Linked DNA regions of Caenorhabditis elegans. The protein of the gene in region 2 interacts with the protein of the main gene of each other region in a pairwise test. Each region holds a gene or a part of one and is shown on either strand. Other genes may lie near its edges.

Evidence for each region.
Region 1: the proteins of T27A8.2 (region 2) and drap-1 interact in a two-hybrid assay, tested with the Caenorhabditis elegans proteins (one large-scale study listed by BioGRID).
Region 3: the proteins of T27A8.2 (region 2) and nhr-88 interact in a two-hybrid assay, tested with the Caenorhabditis elegans proteins (one large-scale study listed by BioGRID).
Region 4: the proteins of T27A8.2 (region 2) and fozi-1 interact in a two-hybrid assay, tested with the Caenorhabditis elegans proteins (one large-scale study listed by BioGRID).

What each region holds. Positions count from the first base shown.
Region 1 is NC_003283.11:9,730,029-9,734,528, forward strand, and holds drap-1 (Transcription factor CBF/NF-Y/archaeal histone domain-containing protein), read left to right. Parts: upstream 1-1,930; 5' UTR 1,931-2,136; coding exon 2,137-2,209; intron 2,210-2,486; coding exon 2,487-2,728; intron 2,729-2,777; coding exon 2,778-3,401; intron 3,402-3,505; coding exon 3,506-3,562; 3' UTR 3,563-3,994; downstream 3,995-4,500. Other genes in the region: cal-7 (EF-hand domain-containing protein), read left to right, coding at 4,075-4,165, 4,209-4,276.
Region 2 is NC_003284.9:16,057,145-16,060,835, reverse strand, and holds T27A8.2 (Fork-head domain-containing protein), read left to right. Parts: upstream 1-1,890; 5' UTR 1,891-1,901; coding exon 1,902-2,161; intron 2,162-2,788; coding exon 2,789-2,909; intron 2,910-2,960; coding exon 2,961-3,005; 3' UTR 3,006-3,160; downstream 3,161-3,691.
Region 3 is NC_003280.10:2,976,563-2,981,433, reverse strand, and holds the start of nhr-88 (Nuclear hormone receptor E75), read right to left. Parts: upstream 3,019-4,871; 5' UTR 3,010-3,018; coding exon 2,945-3,009; intron 2,530-2,944; coding exon 2,432-2,529; intron 2,166-2,431; exon of another isoform or gene 2,091-2,165; intron 2,046-2,090; exon of another isoform or gene 1,992-2,045; intron 1,860-1,991; coding exon 1,405-1,859; intron 679-1,404; coding exon of another isoform or gene 589-678; exon of another isoform or gene 504-588; intron 1-503.
Region 4 is NC_003281.10:9,279,989-9,284,781, forward strand, and holds the start of fozi-1 (Formin-homology and zinc finger domains protein 1), read left to right. Parts: upstream 1-1,792; 5' UTR 1,793-1,945; intron 1,946-4,793. UniProt on the Caenorhabditis elegans protein: Acts redundantly with hlh-1 to promote body wall muscle cell and coelomocyte specification in postembryonic mesoderm progenitors, probably through suppression of sem-2.

The DNA.
Region 1 (4,500 bases), on a different chromosome or scaffold from region 2:
TCAGAATTATTTTGTTTTTTCTCTTGTCTACTTTCATTTATTCTACAATTCTCTTAATTTATAAAAATTTAGTAATATTTCAGATACTTCGACGACGTGAAAGCCATTTGAGACTTCAGCAGCAGCCAATTGTCACTGGTGAGTTCTTTTATTGGTTAAAATTTAATATTGAAAATCGATAAACTAAAAAACTCTGCATAATTAAATAGTAAATTCGTGTTCAATTTCGTTCTTTCCGAAAAACAATGTTGAATTCAATCGTCGACTGAATTTCTGATTTTTTTTTCTGAAAAGATATCACATTTTCTATTAATTCTAAGTAGTCTGAACCAGCTGGGCGACAATTCCAATTTCGCTATTTTGACAGTTAAACAATTGCGGAAAATACTGAGTTATCGAAAGTTCATCAATTCATCAATTTCCAAAAATGCCGATTGCTGGGAAATTGAAAATTCTCTAAAAATGTTCATATCCAAGAAGAAAATCTGAAAATCTGTAAATTTTTATAAGTTAATATACAAAGAAAAATTAGATAAATCTTTTGCCACAAAAACTTCACTGCTGTACGAATTAAATTTTCTTTCATTTGTAGATTTTTTTCAAAATATTTTAAATGTGCACAAGACATTTGGCCAAATTTTTAACTTGATCAATGTCGATCAATATATTTGCCGAAAATGTTCTTTTGCCGCCCATCCTGGTCTGAACTTAAAAATGTTTGCGCAAATTTGCCTCTAAGTTTTTTTTCTAGTAAATTGGAGAATAAAAATTCGCAAAAAGATCTCAATCACCTCATAGGCAACAATTGCAAAAATATCCGTTCAATAATTCTTTATGCAAATACTGAACAGTTAAGATAATTTCATCATTTCAATATCTCGACTTTGCTTCACAAAAGAACAATCAATAATTCGACGGCAAGCTGACAAATCAGCCATCTATCCATCTGTCCGTCTGTCCACACAAAAACATACAAATCGAGTATGCGGAGGAGGAGTCTATGTTCTTTCCCTCAACTCTCTGCTTCTCTCATCTTCTCTTCCCTCTCATCTCGGCCCGTACAGCTGCATCAAAGACTCTCAAACATCGGCGCGGCGCGGGCGCACGCTAAATAAAAGGGGGAAAAGGTAGTGAAACGACACGTGGAGACGCAGAACAAGCAGCGGGTACCGTAGTCGCGCAGACCTGCGAATCACCGATTTGTCCGCTGTATATAAAGGAGGGAAGAACGCGAGGTCTGCGTGTGATCGGCCAGCGCCTTTCTGCTCCTATTCTCCGTTTTTCCCCCTTCTATCTCCTCTTTATACACTATTTCCCTTAGATTCTCTCGTCTCCTCACCGAAGCGCTCAATCACTCGTCTTTACGCGCTCTCCTCCAGTCCTGGCCAGTAGATGTGTAAGTGTGTGTGTGTGCGTTGACATCGAATCGAATCGACACGACGCAGAATGGAATAAATGGCGTTATCATTAAAGAATGAAATAACCAAAATGAAAGCGAGAAATAGAAAAAAGGAAGATACCATCACGCCTCTTTTTTGTTATCAATTGTTGTACTGATGTGATGATCTATATTGTTATAGTGATCGATGAGACCCGAACGGCTGTGTACATACAGAACATATAGAACATAACACACTTGTTGCGAAACGGAGTTGCTCTAACGGGAAATGAAATATAACAAAATCTAATTATCTGAATCCCTTTGTTACTGAGCACAGAATATTTTAATAATTCCAATCAATATCAAATAGTGACCATTAATTTTAGAAAAAAAAGTTTGCGTTGATTATTCATGGGCTCTAAATGTCTTTTCCAAAGTTGTTAAGAGAGCTTCTATGAATGAAACATCATGTCCTTCTTTCATGGTTCAATAATCTCTCATTTCATCGCTTTACCTCAAGAGTATTATACAGTAGCTTCCAACTTTCAGTTAGTCTCAGGCCCATCATCGATGACGTCTTCGGAATAGTTCTATATCTCTCGAAAACCACCCGTTGTTCGTTCTTTCTCTCTCTCATTTTGTGCCTCCAAATCTCCACAACATCGTCTTCTCTCGTCAGCAACGTTTCCGTCGGAGACACTGACACTTTTGGAAGGAAACCAGAGAATACATATTTCGAGAGAGGAGAAAACAAGATGGATCAGAATAGAGGAAGCGATGTTGGCTTTGCGGTGCCGATGTTACCCGTCAATTATGCATCGGCTACTCGTTAGTTTTGACCTTATCTTTTAGGGTGGATGGAACAAAAAAGAAACTCGATTATAGATAATCGGAAAACGTACATTCATAAAATCTTAAAATGAAAGCTTATTTATTTTCAAAAACCCTTAATTTGTTTTGGGTAAAACCGTCAGTATCCGGCATCATTTCTGGATCATGAACTATCTAGAAACTTCAAAAAATATGCGACTTAAAACAATTTGTAGATGTAATATCTAAGAATTAACAGATTAGGATCAAATCGTTATTTAAATTTATTTTTCAGAAAAAATGTCAACGTTGGCATCCACTTCATCAGCCGGTGCTTCATCATCAACAGGTAGCAGCAACCAACAGCAGCAACAGGCAGCTGCTGTGATCCGAAGACGTCGTTTCAGCACTGCAAAAATTCAGCCAACACGCATAAAGAAGGTTATGCAAAGTGATGAGGATATCGGAAGAATGGTTCAGTCAGTTCCTGTCAGCATCGGAAGAGCAATGGAGCATTTTGCGGAGAAGTTTTTACAGGTGAGAAGACTCAGTCATAGTTATTTTGAACCTTGAATATATATTTGAGGCTGCCGCAGAAGCTACTCAATTCACATCTTCAAAGACGCTAAACCCTCAACACATGAAGCAGGCGGTTCTCAACACTCCACACTTTTCATTTCTAGAATCAGTCTTCAAAGATGTTGCACTTCCACAGCAAGCATCTGAATTGAATACTGCACGTACCGGCATGACATTGAGAGGACAGCAAATGCTCCAAGAGCAACAAAATTCAGATTTTGCTAGTGCAATTCTTGCCAATGCGCAGATGCAAATGATGCAAATGGATCAACAAGCATTGAAACAAGAAGATGGAACTATTTCTCCTTATTTAGTTGATCCGCAATCCCCAGCAGCACCACTTCCACTTTATCTTCAAGGGATTCCATCCAATTATCCAGTAGTTCAAGAACTCACAGCCACCGTACCACTTTCTCCTAGCACTCCGACAACTCAACTCGTAAATGGTATGCTAGGAATGCTCAAATACTCGAAAAAAGATTCTGAAGGACAACGTCTCACAGGATTAAAACGAGCATCTACTGATGGTGATGGAGAAGACAGACCAAAGCGAGGACGCCCAAAGAAGTTAAAACCTGAAAAATGTATTGATGATGATCTCTACGAGGAAGCTTCTAGGAATATAGCCAAGGTAATATTTGAAAAGTTTAGACATAGAATCAAAATGTTCTAAAGATGTAATTTGATTTACGGTTCTGTGATCCTTTTGATCTAAAGCAAAATTATCATTTTCAGGAAGACAAGGATCGCGAGTTGATGCCTCCTCCAGCACTGCCTATTGGCCGTCCGTGATCCTCACTTCTCTATGAGAAATTTTATTCTTCTCCTAATCGTGTACTTTTCAATGGTCTCGTTGCCCTCCATTTCTGATCTAAATTTCTCCTTTTCTATTGCTCCAAGTTAAGAAAAAAAAAACAAATCCTCACCGGGTCTACCCTATTCTCTATTTCTCTTGTTTTATTCATTTTTTGTCGTTCACTGGCAAATCAAAATTTAATCACTTCGATGTTCTCCCAATATGAACCATTACCGACCCACACCTTCATAAATCAGGATGCTCGTCGCTTTTCATTAAACCTTCCAAATGTTCTCTGTCATATGTTTAACTTGTTTTGCTCTTTGTCTCTCTAATTCAATTTTTCTCTTCATTTTTATATTTGTCATGCTTTAGAATTCAATTTCCGTTTTTGTAGTATTTAATATAAAAATTATTCAACCAGAAAACGTATATTTCCGACAGAAAAGACCACTAAACTCGCGCAACAACTAGAGCGATCTACATTATATTAGTATTCAGCTAAATTATGGATCTGAGCGAAGATGAAGATTTATTAAACATTGAAGAAGAAGGGGAAAATGAGAGCCAAAAAGAAGAAGTAGATTCTGTAATTGTTGGTTTGTAATATTTTGTCCAATTTAAACAAAAAAGGAAGTTCAGAAGATATTCGACGTCGTCTTTTCGATGTATTCAAGATGTTTGACGAGGATTCTGATGGTTTGATTGAAGTGAGGATTACTGTAGTTACTGTTGAAACTTGGCTTTTCACGTGGTGCTTTTCTCCAACTTTCTACTCATTTATATCATTAAGAACCGGATCAAATAGACATTCCACCTAGTGTAGGCGTCACGGGGAGCCTATTCCCGCCTTCCCACTCGCCTTCCTCGCGCCCTTCAGTAGGGTGAGTGAAGAGGCGAACACGCCTCGAGTGCATGAAGTTATTTTTCATAC
Region 2 (3,691 bases):
CCAAAAATTTCAAAATTTTTTTTTTGCAAAAAAGTGCAGTCATATGTATGTAAAAAAATGAATTGAAGACAAAAACCCCTGTAGCGCGACCAAAAACGAATTTCTTGACCCAGAAACGAACCCATAATACTAAAAAAAAAATTAGCAATCCATTTTCATAGAAATTCTCCCAAAATTCCGAAATTTTTATTTTTGTTTTTTGTGCCTGTAAATACCTGTTGAAATTGGAATACAAGACAAAAACCCCTGTAGCGCGAACAAAAACGAATTTCTTGACCCAGAAACGTACCCATAATACTTTTAAAAAAATTAGCAATCCATTTTCATAGAAATTCTCCCAAAATTCCAAAATTTTTATTTTTGTTTTTTTGTGCCTGTTGAAATTGTTGATATTGAGGAAACCTGTTGAAATTGGAATTCAAGACAAAAACCCCTATAGCGCGACCAAAAACGAATTTCTTGACCCAGAAACGTAATACTAAAAAAAATTAGCAATCCATTTTCATAGAAATTCTCCTAAAATTCCAAAATTTTTTTTTTGCAAAAAAGTGCAATCATATGTATGTAAAAAAATGAATTGAAGACAAAAACCCCTCTAGCGCGGCTAGAATATAACTTGTAGGTCCAGAAACTTATCCATAATCTTTTAAAAAATTTAGAATCCAAATCTATGGAAACCCTACCAAAATTCCAAAATTTTTGTGAAAAAACTTCTGTCGAATACCATAGGAATTCTTCTAAACTTTGAAAATTTTCATTTTTGTTTTTTGCGCCTATATTTGGATTACCGGGGGGAGTCCCATAGTTATTGGCGGGACATTCAAATTTTCTAAGAAAAAATTTAGGCGAGAAACTCAAATTTCCTGAGAAAAAAAAACATTTTGGCAGGAAATTCAAAGATTCATAGTCCGGAACTAGATTTGCTTTCTTTCCTTGTTAGTAGTGCGGCATTTCTTTTTGCTGCAAGATATGCCGTTGTTGTTCTGCTTATTTCTGGAAAAAATTTCATTTTAATATTTTTGTGAAAATTTTCTGTTTTTCCATGTTTTTCTATGAATAACTTTTATGGAAATTTTTATGAATTGTTTAGCTTTAACAATCCTTCTAACAGTTAGGAAATGACTAAATATTATAATGGATCTTTTAAAAATTTGTGGAATTTTTTTTTATTTCGGGTCTGATCGTGCGCCAATTTTGGAGAAACCAAAACACTGTTGCTTGTTTGAATCCCAACAATATTAAAATAGGATTACTGGAAACGTGAGTCAAATTTAAAACTGAAGGTAACTTTTTTTTTGAATATTTTTATTATGATATTTGGACATTTTTAAATTTTAATGTGAACGAGTTTTAATCTTTTCCCACAGGCCGTTGTCCATCTTCAATTAAAGTTTTTTTTCATCTTTACAATCATCAATTTTATAAAACCTTCAACTATGCTCAGATATAGCCGACTCAAACTTTTCATAATTTCGAAATTCAATTTTTTTTCAATTTTTTTGTTTCCTTTTGATTTGGTCATTACGAGTTCGTTGTCGTGTCAAGATTTGACCTACGACAAGTTGGTGTTGCCTGCAATGCGTGAGTCGCGCGACAGGTCTGCCCTCGTCTTCCGCACACTATTATCGATCGATGGTTTATGGCCGTTTGCTGACATTTGAATGTGCCATTCTCTCATATCCACAGCTATACTTTTTTGTGGTTTTTTTTTTGTTATTTTTCATGTAATTTTCGCCTAACTGAATCTGACGTCTGCACGATTTAAATTTTTTCCCACTCGGCAAGTTGCCGCAATATAAGATCCAAAAAAACAAGACATTTCTGTATTTCCTTTATTATGTACGTGGCAAATAAATTTGAGAACCTTCAACTAACTAAGTAAATTTTCATTTTCAGCTACCATGACGTATTTCACTCACGAAATGAACCAAATTATGGGGCTTCATCATCCGGAAATGGCGATGCCCAAGTTCAAAATGGTCGCCCTGGTCAGTGCTGCGATGGAAGAAGCGGATGACGTGTTTCCGGAGATTGAAGTAGTTGTCAAGTGGATCACCGACTTGTTCCCGTATTACAAAGTGTTTCACGATATGTACAAATGGGAGTTTGTTAATCATGTGGCCTGGGTTCTGGACACCGAACTGTGCTTTCGTCGAGAAAGGTGAGTTTTGTGAAGTTTGTAGAAATATTTTTAACAAAAATTTGAAACATTTCAAATTCTTTTTCAAATATTATCGGAAACTGAATTTTGTTGTCAGATTTGCGTGTAGCGTTTAAAAATTGGTTTTCATATAATTTTCAACAAATTCAAGTAAATCCAGAATGTAATTACAACAAAAAATAAAAATAAAGTTCTGCTAAAAAATATCAGATAACAAGTTATATAGCCAAATCATACAATTGCTGTTCATATAATTTAGACATAAGAACCAGAACTGTGCGGCAACCGGCAACCAAGTTGCCGGTTGCCAAAAATTTGCCGAAATTTCGGCAACCAAAATTTGCCGGTTGCCAAAATTTTTTGGGTTTGGCAACTTCGGCAATTGCCGGTTGCCGCACAGCCCTGATAAGAACCCCACAATTTCTCCAAAAATTTCACCAAAATTTCTTTTTATCAGTTTTTTGGAAAAACAAAAATATGTGAATACTCATAAAAACTGTATTTTTTTGGTTTATAAATTTTGCTAAATTTAATCACTAGCACTTACTTAAGAATAACTCCAAAAAAAACTTAAGAAATAACTCCAAAAACTATTCGTATATGTTTTTTTATACTTTCAATTTGCAGAGACGTGAGATCTGGACTATGGGCTTATGAAGACGGCAACAAGGATATTCTGGATGTTGAGGAGGAGTTTCGAAAGGATATAGACGAGTTGAAGCAATATGTGGAGCATCAGGTGGAAATGGTATGTTGCCATGGAAATTTCAGTCATATTATATTAAAAATTGTTTTGCAGACGGATCTTGCTGGACGGATGTATTCGATGTCCTCAACCGGGTGATCTCTTGACAAGTTTTTCATAAAAATATTTCATTTATACATTAATTCAACTTATTCACTTTTTAGATTTTATTGAACCAATTCTGTATATAAAAAAGTTTCCAGTTCAAAACATTCCTACCAACATAAATTTCTTCCGGAAAAATTGGAAAAAAATCATACAAACTTTGTTATTTCTGACAAACGCTGTGGGAAACTAAAGCAGAAAAAGAGAGTGAAAAGAGTATAAGCCTAGTTGAAGACAATTCTATGAAAATGAAAAAAACATTTTTCGATCTTTTGTCAATGTTGAATGAAACAATAAGATTCAACACCACCTTTTTGATCATCAATCTTCCGAACTTCCACTTATCTGAGCATGTGAGCAACTCAGAACCACCTTGGTTCGGTGAGGGGATTGAACCCTCGACTGTTGACTCCACGGTCGAGTGCTTTACCACACTTGACCATGTTGCCAGCTCAGGATGAGTCACTGATTGCGTTGAGTTGGCGCCATGAAAACGTGGCGCGGTGGCGTAGAATGGCGCAATTTGTGCTGAAAAATGAACACTAAATGTGGGTAAAGTATATATTTCTAATATCAGAATTTTGCACTGATTTCAATGGGCAGCTTCAAATTGTTCAATTTTCAATCTAGCAGAAATTGGGACTTTTGCCAAAAAAAAAAATAAATCGTCAAATTCTATT
Region 3 (4,871 bases), on a different chromosome or scaffold from region 2:
TTTTAAATTCTCACTTTACTCCAATTCGTTCCCATATTGTTCTTAGCAAATTCCAATCGCTTGAGTTTATGGTCTGCAGAGAGTAACGGAGCAGGGCGAAGTTTCTGACGAACGATTACACCAGATCGTTTGATGACATTGAGGATGGTCCTTTTTGAAGCAGACAATTGAAGCTCATTGCGAATATCTCTTGCCGTCTTACAGGAGTTGGAGGCAGCACGAATCACATTTCGTTCGTCACGCACGGAGAGAGCTTTGCGACGAGGAGCTCTTTTAGATGTACCGTAGCTCACCGGATCCTTCAGATACACGCGAATACAGTGTCGAGAACGGGAAATTTTCCTACTCATTTCATGCAGGGACACATTGAGCAATTTCATAACATCCAGCTGAGCGCGTTCAGTGTCCGAAAGGGCAGATCCTCGAGGCATTGCAAGTTAGACTGCTTTCGAAGTAAGCTTTCCAGCCTCTATATGTGTGCCACAACACATGCCACAATTCCACATTTAATAATTCACGCAAAAAATAGTAAATAACATCTGTGAGGGACAATTTAACTTGAAATATTGGTCCCATGGAACCTTGTAATCAAAGAAAAACGATTTGATTCCTGATAAGCCTTCCATTGTTTCCTGCTGCATATTTTGCCAAATCAGCTTGACTACACAGTCGAAACATCTAAAGTGCGTGCTAGGAATTTTAGTAGGAACTTGTTAAAGAGAGTTTATCAAGTTTTGGCATTACCGAGAGCACCAGGAAGCTTGAAACAGACTTGAACATCAAAGATCGGAAGAATCAGAACCAGTCTGGAGATCCCACGAGAACATTTCGTATTAATTTTTTAAAGTCAAAACTGCTTATCTGAACTCATTTCTAACTCAAACTTGATTTGAGCTTTGTCAAAAATTCCAAAATCTGTTGATTTTAGTAAAAATCGTGAAAAAAAACGGGGGGTCCTATAGAAGTTTCACACTGGATTTTGACGTTTTTTCCAGCGCGACCTCAGTTTTTGAGATAAACTTCTGGAAAAAAATGTATATAGGTTTTTTTCAATTTAAAAACGAATGGCATTAGCAGTTTTTCAAAAAAATTTTCGGAAGTTCCTCAAACCTTCAAATTAGGGGGGGGTCCTATAGAACTTTCCCACACTGTATTTCAAATTTCTAGAAGCAGCCGACATTTGCCTGGTTTCTAGAAACAGCCGACATTCGCCGGGCTTCTAGAAGCAGCCGACATTTGCTTAGTTTCTAGAAGCAGCCGACATTTGCTTAGTTTCTAGAAGCAGCCGACATTTGCCGGGCTTCTAGAAGCAGCCGACATTTCCCTTGTTTCTAGAAACGGCCGACACATCACGGGTTACTGGAAGCTCCCTTCAAGTTTACCTAGGAGCAGCCGACAACTCACCGGAAAGCTCTCCTGATTTCTGACATATTGACTATGGAACAAAGTGGACACATCGAAATCCGGGTCATTCTTCATCATCATTGATATTCCAATAGGCATTGTGATATGATTATTCCCGCAAGTCGCCTGATCTTCAACATCCAATAAAAATGACAAAATAACATCTTCATTATTGGAAACTGGAGAATCGCAGCCATTCGGTGAGGGTAGGGATGCATCGATGCTTCCACTATTCGTGTCGGACTTCATCTTCTTCTTCCGTGGATTCTTCTGCTTGCCGATGACGTCACGATCCGGTCGAATGGCTTCTGGCTCCATGCCAACTGTCAGGCAACGCTGGAACCGGCAGTAACGGCATGCGTTGCGTTGATCCTTGTCGATGGCGCATTTTTGGGTGAATCGGCAGGTGTAGGTCTGTTGGGATCGGATTGTTCGGCGGAAGAAGCCCTTACAACCTGAAATTTTAGAAATTTGAGCGATATCTCAAAAATTGAATCTTGAAAAAGTTGTGTAAACTATTGAAATATTCCAGTCGAAAACATGAATAAGTCATAAATTGCATGATTTTTGATAGCTCAAAGTTTAAGCTCAGGCTTAGGCTTAGGCTTAAGCCTAAGCTTAGGCTCAGGCGTAGGCTTAGGATTTGGCTCAAAGCTAGGATTAGGCTTAGGCTTAGGCTTAGTCTTATGCTTAGGCTTAGGCTTAGGCTTAGGCTCAGGCCTAGGTTTAAGCTTAGGCTTCGGCTTAGGATTAGGCCTAGGGTCATAAACTCAAGACCTTAGGCTTAGGCTTAGGCTCAAAGCTAGGATCAAGCTTAGGCTTAGGCTTAGTCTTATGCTTAGGCTTAGGCTTAGGCTTAGGCTCAGGCCTAGGATTAAGCTTAGGCTTATGCTTAGGTTTAGGCTTAGGGCCATAAACTTCAGACCATAGGGTTAGGCTTAGGCTTAGGATTAGGCTTGGGCTTGGGCTTTGGCTTAGCACCTTAGGCTTAGGCTTAGGCCTAAATTGGAAAAAAAGAAAAACTCACCATAACAAGCCATTACTCCATAGTGTTTTCCAGCCGACCTGTCTCCACACACCATACACTGCCCATCACCATTATCCATTCCTGGCATGACCTGTTGACTGAAATTTTTTTAAAGTTTTTGGGGGTTTTGTATCTCAATTGTAATCTGTGAGTACTGTAGCTAGGTACCATACGGGTACTGTAGTTGGATTAGGGGTACTGTAACTTGACACCATATGGATACTGTAACTCTACTTAGTTCCTTTATGATTACTGTAGCTAGGAACCATTTGTGTACTGTAGCTATGAACTATATGGGTGCTGTACATCAGCCCATATGGTTACTGTAACTACTGTTGCTATGTACAACATGTGTATTGTAGCTATGATCTATTTGGGTACTGTAGCTAGACCCCATAGGGGTACCAAAACTAGACTATAGGTACTGTAGTTAGGTACCATATGGGCACTGTAGTTGATTCAGGGGTACTGTAGGTGATAGACTATGAATACCGTAGGGTACTGTACACTCACCCATCATCCTCGTCTGTTCCAGAACCATGATGTCCATAGGTATAAACCGTCGAAGGAGCAAACATATAGAGATGCTGCAAAAAAAAGAAGATGAGATTTTATATTATATTTTTAGTCGGAGCAATAAGTAAAAAATGAGAAAATAAAAATCTTTGATGCTTTGAAAGGAAGGGAGAAGCGTGACGGATATGAGGGGGAGGGGATAGAAAAAAGAGCAAAATGAGCAGAATATTTTTGAGTAAAACTTGAGAAAAAAAGAGGGAAAACAGCTCTAAAGCCTAAGCCTAAGCCTAAGTCTAAGTCTAAGCTCAAGAATAAGCCTAAGCCTGAGCTTAACCCTAAGCCTAAGCCTCAGCCAAAGCCGATTACTAAACTTTGGTCTATGCCTAAGCCTAAACCTAAGCCTAAGGCTAAATATAAACCTAAGCCTAAGCCTAAGCCTAAGCCTAACCCTAAGCCTGAAACTAGGCCTAGGCCTAAGACAACCACGCAAAGAAAACCAACCGGACAAAACTGAAAAGTAAGTGTCCAATTTTGGCCTGACCCCCAATTTCTCAACAAAATTTCCCGCCAAATCAATTTTTAGGAACCAGTTTTCTCTTTTAAGATGATGTTTTCTGTTTCTTTTCGTTTTTTTTTTTGAGAGAGAGTAACCGGGGAAAGTTTTAGGGGGCAGAAAGGGAGAAAGATTGGAAAAGAAAATTGGGGAAATTTCGTTCGACCGGTTTTCTGAATTTTCTGGTAGAAGTTGGATGGGGGAATTTTGTGGGAATTTTTCGGGGGAAATTGAAAATTTTCAGATATTTTAGAGTAATTTTGAAAATTGTCGGACTGTAGGAATTTTTCCGAATTTTTAGAGCTTTTTCCAAAAAAATTTTCAGACTTTTTTTTGAAATTTTTTAAATGGAAATTGACACCAAAAATTGCTCTTCGGCTAAAGACACTTAGATATCCTAATTTTTAAAGGTACATAAACTATCACTTTTAAAATTGCGGAAAAAAAAGTTTTTTTTCGAAAAAAAACAACTATCTGAACAAACAAAAAGTTCTAGATTTTCCGTCGATCTCAAATTACCAACGTTTTTTTTCTTTTTTTCTCGTCATGAATTCTCAAACTAGAAACAACTTTGTTCTGTTTTGAAAAAAATTAGAAAATTGGTAATTTTTAATCTCAAAAATTTGAAAAAAAAATCGGGAAAAATTAAAAAATAATTTTTTAAATAGATTTTTACAGGAAATGTATGGTTTTTTTTGAAAATTATAGATATTTTAGAAACATATAAAGTTTAAAGAGAAATCAAAAAAAACCTCCCAAAAATTAGGAAAGTTTTTGAAAAAAAAACAATTTTTGGCAATTTTTTTTCAAAAAATCGAACAATTCCAAAACTTCCCCAAAATCAAAATTTTCCAAATTTTCCAAATTCCATACTAAAATCATGCTCAGGGATCCATAAAATGTTGCATTTTCTTTTCCTGTCTCCCCCAAAAAAATGTGGAGGTGAGCTCTCTTTTTCTCCGGAGAGCCAGCGGAGAGGAAATTTTTTTCTCTCCATTTTTTTCTAGCGTCTCGTGCGTGTTTGTGTGTATGTATGTGTATGTTTAGAACGGAAACATGCATTACATTTCGAAACCTTCTCCCTTTTAGTGCTCGAGCCCCCAGAAGCTGAGAAGGGGGGCAAAAAGGTGGAAAGAATTTGTGGAGAAAAGGAGAAAAAGGAGAAAAATGTGAAGGGAAAAAAAGAAGAAAAAAACGGAGAAAAGTAACAAACTTGTGTGGTGGTGGTGGCAGAAAATGAGGGCGACACGACGAGGACAGCGTGGCGTGTGGAGGGAGAAAAGTGGGCGGAGCCTCTGGAAGGTTAAGCTCATTTTGTAGAGAAAATTACAATGAGAAGATGACCTAATTTTTAAGAAAATCTGATAAAAA
Region 4 (4,793 bases), on a different chromosome or scaffold from region 2:
CGGATAACAAACAAACTTATACAAACAAAAAATAAGCTCAATGGGTGGGATAGAAGAAGGGGGAGAGAAGTGGTCTGCGTCTCGTGAAAGTGAACAATGATTGCGTGAAGTTCAAACCAGATGTGGATATGTGTCTAGGATTTTGGAGATTTTCAGAACTAGAATTTAGGTTTTAGGCTGACTTTTTCGAGATTACAATGAATGGTTTATTTTCTTGAGATTTTTGTGGGTAGCACTACCTTGGAATACCGTATTATCCCTGCCAGACTTGAAACATTTTCAGTGTCTTTCAACATACCAGAAAAAAGCTAAAGCTTGCGCTATGAGTTTTCTTGATTTAAAACTTTAAAAATAAGAACTTTCACCTTTTGAAATTATTTACATTTCTTCGAAAGAATCGGACTTCTACAGACTACAGTTTTCAAATTTATTTTCCGAAAATTTTCCCACTGTTTTCTTAGTTTCTCTAGAATCTTTACCTGCTCAAAGTTCACACCTATTCATTTTTGTTTTCCCGTTTGTTGTTTTTTTTTTCATTCACCTTTTCTTTTTCCCCCATTCATCGAGCTTTTTTTGGTGTCTGTCATCGAGTCCATGGGCTTAGCGAGGCTTGAAGATGAGCGCGCGCAACTTTTCGCGTTGATTGTCGCATTATTCCCCCGCGATCCCATTTTGCTCTTCTCATCGCAACAGCAGCAGGCTCACACGTCGTTATAGTCTCCTGTTTGTTTCGCAAAAAAGGACTTGGCGTCCCCGAGAAGAAAACGATACGCAAACACATATATAGATTGCAAGCAAGAGTGAGAGGTGTGTGCAAGCTTAACTCGGAACACAACGGGAGCCACCTCTCGACCTTGTATGGGAGAAGAGTCAATGCGCCTGGAGGTTGAGAAAAGAAAACAATGATCTTGATCCAAAATGATCTCGATTTCTTTTTTGAGCATTTCCAAACATCCAGAGAGCTCATACCGTAACTTCCTACTATTTTTAACATCAAAGCTCTATATGCTATAAGATTATGAAAAATGTGATTGAAAAATGGAGATTTTGAGAACATCCAGGGATCATCCAATGGTGGTTTACAACTTTTGATAGCTTATTTTATCCATTATAATATCCAGATTTTTCACAATTTGTCACTTGTTATAGTAGCTTTGTGACAGATTTTTATTTTATTTTTGCTTGAAATGCTCTCCACAGGGTGGTTTTTTTCGCTGTTCTCTGTATTTGAACAATTTTTTAAGATTTTTTCAGTTTTATTTCAGCTAGAAAAGTTTAGAGTAAATAGGCTACGGTATAAAAAATAGGTTACGGTAGAAAAACAAAATCTTCGTAAATTGTTTAGATTTTTTGAAATTTTCAGTTGACGATTAGGTAAAATGGTAAAAAAGAAATGTTCAAATGAAAATATTTTTAAAAAAATTTGAATTTCAAAAATTTGTTGCAGAAGTTTAGAGCGTTCATGTAGGCGCCAAAACGTCATTTCTTAATTTAAAAAAAAGTTCAGAAAAATGCGCGAAGATGGTGTGAGGAAGCCAGTTTTCAGGCAGGCGCCATGTTTTGAAACCGAGCCTGCCTTGTATAGAAGCAATGCAGAAATGAACATTTTCATGTTCAACATCTGAAATTATGAGTGATTGCAAAAAAAACCATTTTAAAACATTTTTTGAAAAGTTTACTTGGCTCTAAATTTAAAACTTTTGTTTTTCAGAAACCTAAATCTTCAATGTTAGAAGCTACCGTAACCCTTCTCCCCCGTTTTCAAAAAATCTCATCTCTCCTTAATTTGTATTTTCAGAGCATCCTACAACCTCTTCTCCAACGTGCTCCAGCCAACTGACCACTTCACTCTCTGAAACCGTTCGCAATCAGCGGAAGACGCTGGTGGGGATTCGTCTCCGGCCGCCTGCGCCTGTACACACAATGACATAGACACAAAGAAAAGGTGAGGAGTGTGATCGTATTGAGAAATGTGCGAAAACGGGAGTAGGAGCTCCTGTGCTCAACCTTCTTATTCTCTTTATTTGACATATCGAGAGCATAGAGATGGACACCCCCTTAGAGCCACATTTGGACTTAGGCCAACGCCTGTGGTAGATTTGAAATTTCTAGTTTCTTGTTATGTTGTTTTCTTGTTTTGCTTTTCACCTTCTGAAGCTTCAGAAGCTTCTTTTGCCATCATCAACCCAATTACTATAAAGTAACAGAAACTTTCGCTGATGCTTCTCTTTCCTTCGTTTTTCTGGTACAAGTATCCGCCATCGAATGAAAAAATCTTGTTTTTAGCCCTCCCTAGTGTTCGTTGATGTTTCTTTTGTACATATATCCGTCGCTCTCTCCACCTCCATCTACTTCGATGGCAGTTGTTTTGGTGCAGGCACCAGGGGCGCAAAGGTGAAAGTGACGAAAGAGGCGTGGCAACCAGGAAAGAGTGGACCCTTAGTTTCCCAACGATTCGCCGCTTTCCCTCCATTTTCTCTAAACTTTCTCAGCTTTTCGGCTTTATCGACAGCTTCGTTCACCGTTCTCGATCATTTTTCTCACCTGAATTTTCAAAACTTTTGTCTTTTTTCCATGGAATACTTTTACATTTTCTATATGTAGTTTCATTTGTTCCAAAAAAATAAGTATTTTCTGGATAATAGGTTTCTGTATCTAAGTTTACGGTAGGTGCAAGTAACTTTGCGTAAAAATTGAAAATTAAAATGATTACTCAACTTTTTGAATACCATATTTCTCTAAAAAAGACTTGTCTTAGACCTTGCTCAACTTTGACAGTTTTGGCTCCAAATGGTTTCATCAAACAACTGTCAATTGACAAAATACGTGCAAAATATTTTTTCTATATTTTGATAGTGGAACATTTTTTGATAAAAACCTAAGAAAATCGAGATATAAGCCACTCAAATTATAACATTTTTTAGAAGCTAGAAAACGTAATTTTCAGTTTTACCTTGTCCCCCTGAAAGTTCATGAATTTCAATTTAATTATTTTTTTCCAAAAACCGCATCGTGCCAAAGATTTTCATTTTAAGCTTTATCCTAGATCCACCCGACCAGATTACCATAAGTTGAACTTGTTTTGTTTGTTGAGTTTTTATTCCAGCAAAATCGCACCGTATCTCATCTCTGATTTGTTATTCCCATTGTTTTCTGGTGGAGGTTTCGTATTCGAAATTTTTTTTTTAATTTTTAACGGCAATTTTGAATGTATTTTTCAAATGTTAACGAAGAGTTTTTTCGATAGTGTTACTGGATCTTTGATAAGCATATGATCTTCTTAGCTTTATCGTCTGATTTAAGTCCAGTAAAAAAATAATCTAGAAAAAGTTGAGCAGGTTTTATGACTGTTTTTGTGAGGAATTGTAGATTTGATTGAACATTTTTATAATCTAAAATTATTTTTAACTCAAACTTCAAAAAGCACTTCAAAAATGCAACGAGTATGATGGATGGAAGTCAACCACAAAAAAACATATTTTTTAGATTTCTAAAACTGAAGGCTCTAATTTTTTAAACATTAAGTTTCTAGTAACAAAGTCAAAATTTACTCTGCTATTTCGTACTAGCTACTTCCTCATTTCGAATTTTCAACTTTGACCTCATGGACATATCCACGTGTCGACACAATTTCTAATCGGCTAAGCTCCTACTTAGTCAGTTTTCATCGCGACTAATATTTAACAACGATGGCCTTATCCTATTCAGTTAAGCCTTGGATTCAAAAATTTTGAAAATCTCATACGAAATTGAAAACCTATCAACGTATCAAGTTGGTGTCGGGTCTTCTATATTTTTTTTGGTTAAAAAGAAGATTGAAGCCCTTTAAATTTTATCCAGCTTCATCGAAGATTTCACAAATTTCAATGAAATTATTCTTCAAAAATCATCGAGTCTCCTCCCTTCTTCCCCCACTTTTTCGACATTAACTTCCCATTTTTTGAGAGGTCATCAAACTTTTAATGATCTCTCGAGTCGTCCATCAACTTTCACTCATTTCACAGTTGTTTTACGGCTCATAACTCCGCGAATCTCGCACCCATATAAACTCTCATTTTGCTTGATAATTTCACACTCAGTTGCAATGAGTACTGTAGTCTTTATGAAGTCTAAACTTAAAATTTTCACGCCAAAATAATGTGAGAATTTTAAATTTTCTAACCATGATTGAGAGAAATTTCCAAAAAGTTACTGTATTTCCTTACATTACTTCACTTTGAAAAGTTACATTTCGGTTTATTTTGAAGATTTCAAATTTTCGTACTATTCCTTTAAAAAAACATAAATAATAAAATTTATGAAGTATCTCATTGGTTTCACTGCTTCATATTTCTGGGAAATAAAATATTTCTATTGACCTAAACTATCTTAAAATTATCTATATTCCAATTTAATACTATGTACTTTCCATCTCACCCATCTACCGAGTTAACTGCAAAATTTTTCAAAAGTTATGAAACTAATTATTCCTCCGGCAAACAAATGTGCCTATCACACGCTCTATTCATACCATATTAACTTGCTAATCAACTACTTTTGTGTTGTTAATCACTGACACATATGTAAATTTCATCCTCCAATATCTCGCTCCTATTGTTCCTCCTGTTTTTGAATCATGGTGGTGCTGCCAACTCAGCTCCACTTAGGGGCGGCGCCTGATGTCCAATTGGGCTCTGCCGGCTTTTGCTACCAACTCATTACTTTTACACCTACGGTACCTATTTTTTGTGTTTTTCAGGATACCTCTCAACTATTCATCAGCTTCATCTAGTCATCTTCTTTTACCTGTAAGT